2 linked regions of the Danio rerio genome follow. The protein of the gene in region 1 purifies or fractionates together with the protein of each later gene. This does not show direct contact. Links are inferred from orthologs where the notes say so. Each region holds a gene or a part of one and is shown on either strand. Other genes may lie near its edges.

Evidence for each region.
Region 2: the proteins of rexo4 (region 1) and rrs1 purify together in Homo sapiens (co-immunoprecipitation; 3 studies listed by BioGRID and IntAct, with this or other methods). This does not show direct contact. The link is inferred for Danio rerio from reciprocal best matches to the Homo sapiens genes REXO4 and RRS1.

The regions. Positions count from the first base shown.
Region 1 is NC_133196.1:7,188,986-7,192,821, forward strand, and holds part of rexo4 (RNA exonuclease 4), read left to right. Parts: intron 1-2,497; coding exon 2,498-2,650; intron 2,651-2,731; coding exon 2,732-2,925; intron 2,926-3,836.
Region 2 is NC_133199.1:27,758,009-27,761,211, reverse strand, and holds rrs1 (ribosome biogenesis regulatory protein homolog), read left to right. Parts: upstream 1-1,047; 5' UTR 1,048-1,056; coding exon 1,057-2,097; 3' UTR 2,098-2,375; downstream 2,376-3,203. UniProt on the Homo sapiens protein: Involved in ribosomal large subunit assembly. May regulate the localization of the 5S RNP/5S ribonucleoprotein particle to the nucleolus.

The sequences.
Region 1 (3,836 bases):
AAACATGCAAACTCCACACAGAAACACTAAATGACCCAGCCGAGGCTCGAACCATTGACCTTTTTGCTGTGAGGCGGCAGTGCTACCCATTGTGCTGCCCCCTTTTGAGACTATTTCAGTTAATTTTATGCATTTGGCAGCGTCTGATTTTAGAGCAATTTTTAAGTTTCTCTGAGCTTTTTGACACCGCCTTTCCTTTTTTCACGGTCCATCTCTGACAATTAGCTTGTGTTGCACCTAATGTTTGTTTGACATTCTTGCCAGATTTTGATTATGTCATGCGTAACCTCTGATTGGGTGGGCCCATCTCGAAACCAGCTGGCCATTACCGATTGGGCCAATGCTTAACATTTATTATTATTATTACTATTATCATCATCATTATCATCATCTTTATCATAATATTCACCTCTTGCAAGAAACAAAAACTGCCTGTATGTAAAATGAATACTTATTAAAAAAAAATGTAATAAAAAATAGCATACCGGCCCACATTTAAAAAAAAATGGTCCAGCCCTTCTGGCATTTGCCAGAATTGCCAGATGGCCAGTCCGCCCCTGCAGTTTATGATATTACAAGACGGATTACATTCATTTTCTTGTATGATTTATAGACAAATATTTCTTTAATTTAATATTTTTATTAGTTATAATAGTTTTAAGAATAAAAATCATAAATTGTGAGATTTAAACAGCTTTATTATATTAATTGTTATAATTTTTTTATTTATTGTGTTTGGAGAAAACACAGAAGTGAAGTCAGAAATGTGTGTTTGTGTTTGTGTGTGTGTGTGTGTGTGTGTGTGTGTGTGTGTGTGTGTGTGTGTGTGTGTGTATACAGTTGAAGTCAGAATTATTAGCCCCCCTAAATTATTCCCCCACCGTTTATTTTATCCCTAATTTCTGTTTAACGGAGAGAAGATTTTTATCAACACATTTCTAAACATAATAGTTTTAATAACTCATTTCTAATAACTGATTTGTTTTGTCTTTGCCATGATGACAGTAAATAATATTTGACTAGATAAATAATTTTGACCTTAAAATGGTTCATAAAACTTTGAACAACTTTTTTTCTAGTCAAAATAAAGCAAAAAAGACTTTCTACAGAAGAAAAAATATCAGACATACTGTGAAAATTTTCTTGCTCTGTTAAACATCATTTGGGAAATGCTTAAAACAGAAAAAAAGGGGGGTAAACCTTCTATATATGTATAACCTTCTATAAACAACTCCATTCTGTGGCGGAGAAAAAAAAACAGGATTGCAAGATGTTAATTTCGAAAGGCAAGAAAAAAAATATAATGGGAAAAGTTTTTTTTATGTTGCCGGACAGAAGAATTTTCAAGTTGAAGTCAAAATTAGAGATTTAGACTCTCAAAAGTCCAAAATTTTGTGAAAAATCCACATTTTTTTGATTTTTTTTTATCAGTTATGCCAACAAAAAAACTGTATTGGAATAAATGCACTTTTTTAGATAATTAAACAATTTAAAGGAAGAAAATCTAAAATCTGAGAAATATAGCTGCATTTCTAAGAAATTATAAAGGTGAGGGAAAAAGAAGAAAAGAACGAAAAAAAAGTTTGAGCTAAAGTCAAAATTATATATATAATGTAAACTCATTTCTGTAAAAAGTCACAATATACTATCAAAAATCCAAAATTTCCAGTAGATTGGAAGTGTAATATATAAAATAACTAAAAGAAGAAAAAAAATCTGAGTTGTGTGAAATAAACTTGCAATTCTAATATAAATGTCAGAATTGTGAAGCAAAGTGTTGCATTTGTTTATTTATTTTGTTTACACTTTGTTCCATGGCAAAAATAAAAACACTAAAGCTAAAGTCAAAATTAGAGATATGAACTCTAGAGAAGATATGATTAGAGGTATGAATTATGAGATCAGATAGAAAATATGTGGAGCAAGCTAAAAAGCTATTGCAAAAAATAAACAAAATAACTAGAAAAATCTACATTAATAAATTAAATATCTAATGTTTAATCTAAATAAATACACTGAAAAAAGCTGAATGACCTATAGCTGGGGTCACCAATCTTGGTCCTAGAGGGCCAGTGTCCCTGCTGGCTTTAGCTCTAACTTGCCTCATCACACCTGCCTGGGTGTTTCAAGTTTACCTAGTATGAGCTTGATTAGCGTGTTCAGGTGTATTTGATTAGGGTTGGAGCTAAAATCTGCCGGACACTGGACCTCCAGGAACAAGTTTAATGACCCCTGGTCTAAAGTCAAGAAGTGAGAGATAAACTCAACTTATATTTATAAAATATTGTCAAATTGATCTGGTTTTGCCATAAAATAGCCAGAGATGCTGACATGGCAATAAATTCTAAACTCTCAACTCTCTCTCCATATAAACACAGAGTTCAAGGGGAAAAATCGGAAAATAGCCAATGCATTTGCAAGAAAAAAAAGCTTCGTTGTTGATAACCAACTTCCATCCTACATCTTTTTTTATATGTAACCCCCTGTTTTCCCTCAGGCCGGACCTCTGGTTTGACGACGTGGACCCCGATGACATCGAGTCCGCTTTAGGGACAGAAGCTGCGGACATCATGCGGAAACGCTGCGGATTAGCGAAGTGCGATCCAAAAAACACAGAGAAGATGCTGGTGAAAGAGCATGCGTTTGAGGGGTATGTGAACATGACCACACTTGCTCCTGTCATTGCTAACAGGAAGTGATGTCACTCAATGATTTATTTTGTGGTTTTTAGAGTGACTCGTGCGGTTGCGATGGACTGCGAGATGGTGGGTGTTGGATATAAGGGAGAGGACAGTATTTTAGCCCGAGTCTCCCTCGTCAACCACTTCGGGAAATGTATCTATGACAAATACGTCAAACCCACAGAGAAGGTTACGGACTACCGAACGGCGGTTAGCGGCATCAGACCGGACGACATCAAGAATGGTCAGAACTTTAATAATAGACATTGTTATAGTTATATACTGAAGTAAGAATGATTAACCCTTCTGAAATATTAGCCCTCCTGTAAATTTATTCTAATGGAGCTAAGTTAAATAGTTTAATAACTTATTTCTAGTAACGGATTTCTTTAATCTGCCATGATGACAGTGAATAATATTTATTTTGAATAATAGGCTTAACTAGGTTGGTTAGGTTAACTAGGCAGGTTAGGGTAATTAGGCAAGTTATTGTATAATATTGGTTTGTTCTGTAGACTATCAAAAATAAATATAGCTTAAAGGGGCTAATAATTTTGACCTTAAAATGGTTTAAAAAATTTAAAGCTGCTTTTATTTTAGCCGAAATAAAACAAATAAGACTTTCTCCAGAAGAAAAAATATTATAGGAAATACTGTGAAAATTTCCTTGCTCTGTTAATCATCATTTGGGAAATATTTTTTAACAAATTCACAGGAGGGCAAATCAGTTTGACCCCAACTGTATATATGTGCAATATCACACTCATAGCAGTGTGATATGGATGTATATCGGCAGTGGTGGGAGGGGTGTGTTGGCATGAGGCCATAGGCAGAATGCCTTAGCGTCCCACCAGTGACGATATACAGCCATATCACACTGCTATGAGTGTGATATTGCATTTATACTACAGTTCGACAGCATAATCGTGTATTTAAAAAAAAAATCAAACATGGAGAGTCTAAAAAGCCCAGTTCTAACTGTTTTTGCCACATTTCTGCATTTATATCTTGCAATTTTGATTTTCCCTCTATAAATTTTGCATTCATTAAACAGTTTTTGTTTTTCTAAATTGAAATAACCCATTGTCAGGATTTTAAAAAGATTTTAAGCGCGACATCGCATGTTCCATACACATACACATGGCTGTCAGTAGA
Region 2 (3,203 bases), on another chromosome or scaffold:
GTTTGCGTAACTGAACAGTAATGCAAATACTACTACTACTACTACTACTACTACTACTACTACTACTACTAATAATAATAATAATAATAATAATAATTATAATAATAATAATAATAACAAGTTTGTTTTTGTTTGCATACTGTATGCAGAGGCAATTTCCAGATTTTTTCTGTTAGAATTTTCAAGAATAACATTGGCATCAGTTCAGAAATCATATTATCAGTTCAGTATCACTTGTTCAGTAATAATATAATCCAAACAGATCCAAAAAATCAGTTTTAAAATCATACCAAAAACACAATTTAAGTATTATTAAGGATAATTAATTATTTTTAGATATTTGTAGTGGTCGATGATAAAACAAATACAACCGTGCGTGTGTATAACTGCAACAAAATAAATAAATCAATATTTCTACCACAACTATGGGTTTCACTTATAGGTTTTACTGGCATTTAGAAACCAATCATTTGTCCCAGGTTACACATCCACAGAACCGATATATATCTAAATAAATTTAATATTTTATCAAAACGAACCATTTGCTCCGTATGCTTAACCCACCGGTTCGGTTCGGCTATAAGATTCACGCATCCACAAACTGAATCACTGAGTCAGGTTCGTTTGAATCATGTCTTCGAGCACTTCAGGTAACTTCTGGCATGTGGCCACTTTATTGATTCTGATCACAAAAATGTCGACTCTGGTGGGACTCGAACCCACAACCTTTGAATGACCCCATTCAACAATCTAGAAGTCCAATGCGCTATCCATTGCGCCACAGAGCCGATGGGACGTCCTGTCGGTTTATCGCTACTCCTGCATTCGACCGAACAACTTTCGTCCGAAGTAAGTTAGTTAGTATCATAAACATATACACTTAGGATAAACGTTTTACTAGCTAAAACATGTTTAAAGATTGTTATATTTCTTTAACTCATTTGAAATGTTTATTTTATTTTTTAAGTTAGTTTTTAGTTCTTTTATTTTGAAATACCAGACTTCCGCTTTTAGCGGCACATGTGGGAACCCACGTTGTCTGTCAGTAGAACCAAAATGGCTTCGTGCAGTATTGAAGACGTGCTCGCTAAAGCTGAAAGAGACGAGGCTGAGAAGCTCAAAAGTATTACGGTGCTCAAAGAGTTGGATCTTGAATTCGACCCGGGACTTTTGCTGGCGTTTGACAAGAACCGACTTGACACACGGGACTTTAAAGGCAACAAACGGGAGGACTGTCTTCGCTCTTTAGCGCGAGACAACACACAACTTCTCATCAACGAGATATGGAAACTACCCACAGAGAGAGTCGACGAAGTGATCGTCGCCAAGCTGCCAGAACCGACCACTAAACTACCCAGAGAAAAACCAGCACCGAAACCTAAGCCTCCTACTAAATGGGAACAGTTTGCCAAGCTGAAAGGCATTCAGAAGAAAAAGAAGACCAACTTGGTCTGGGATGAAGTTCACAAGGAGTGGAAGAGGAGATGGGGGTATAAACGTGCCAAAGATGACACCAAAGAGTGGTTGATTGAGGTCCCGGCGACTGCAGATCCAAACGAAGACCAGTTCGCCAAAAGGAATAAAGCCAAAAAGGAAAGAGTGGCCAGAAACGAGTACAACAGACTCAAAAACATCGCCAGAGCTCAGAAGGTCAAGGTTCCTGGAACAGGACTCCTGCCTACATCCCAGCAGACCAAAGCGGAGCTGGCACAAGCGGTCAGTCTGGCCAAAATATCCACCGCATCGGTTGGCAAATTCCAGGAGAAGCTGCCCAAGGAAAAACCAGCCAGAAACACTGGGAAGAAGAGGAAATTCCAGCCTCTTATTGGGGACTTCAGTAGCGAGAAGCAAAAACAGCTGGATTTATTGAAGGTGATGGACAGTAAGAAGCCCCGTCTCGATATCACTAAAGCTGTGAATAAGCAGATGAGGGAAGAGGACTCGGAGTCTGCTCGGAATAATAAGAAAGGGTTTGGAAAGAAGGGACGCAAGGGAGGCATGCCTGGTAAAGGAAAAGGCAAAGGAAAACCTGGAGGAAAGGGAAAAGCTCCTAAAGGCAAAGGGCGCAAACCTCAGATGAAGCAAGGAAAGCGCTAACATTTAAAGCAGTGTGGTGGACTTATGATGTTTATTGTAGAATATAATAAATATTGCACACGACTCAACTTCTCTTAAGTCATGACTTTGAGTGCCTTGCGGCTGGAGTTTGATTCAGTACAGGAATCGGGTTTGTTTATGTGTTTAGGCTTTATCTACATATGTCATGGATTAAGATCATTGAACCGTTTTCATAAATGTCATCTAATATTGACTCCTGTTATTCATTCGTAATTGTGTTTTCACATTAAATTAAAATTCTTTCTGATTTGCCATCAGTTCCTGGTTGGATATTGTGAATAATGAGGTTATATTTCATCCCCAAAGTTATTTAAAAATGAGTATAAATGTGTCAAAGCCTGCTGTTAATGGGTAACATTTGTACTTAAATAGTATGTTCTTATAATGTAATATAAAATATCATCAAATGTGTATTTTAGAATTATAAAGCTAAAATATCACCTTAAAAAATTGAAGCTAAGATTCAATTAATAAAGTATTTGAGCAATTTTAATGAAAAGAATATGATTAGATTTATCTTATACCATCAAATAGAGGAGACATCCCATTTCAGTGTCTACCTAAGTTCACAAATGTGATTTTTAATTACAGCAATCAAATTAAATCTAATTAAATTGTTTAGTGATTTAAATAACTTTTGTGAAATTAAAAATATGAGTTAAAAACGCTGTATTGTCATTTAGTGTTATGTGAAAATGAAACCTACTGTTATTCTGATCTGTGATGTGACAAATATGTATAAAATAATAACTTAAAGCTTTCCCAGAGATGGGTTGCAGCTGGAAGGGCATCCACTGCATAAAACATAAACTGGAAAAGATGGCAGTTCATTCTGCTGTGGCGACCCCGGATTAATAAAGGGACTAAGCCGAAAATAAAATACATAATTTTTAAAGCTTAAATACGTATTGAATTAGAAAAATCTTGCTGTTAATGGGTAAAATCTGCACTTTAATAGAATGTTCATATAATTTAATATAAAGTATAATCCAATTAATACTCATGTAAGTGTGTTTTCTTGAATTATGAAACTAAAATATTCAAATTAAAAAAATCAATACTGGGTTTCAAGTGATTTTGATTAA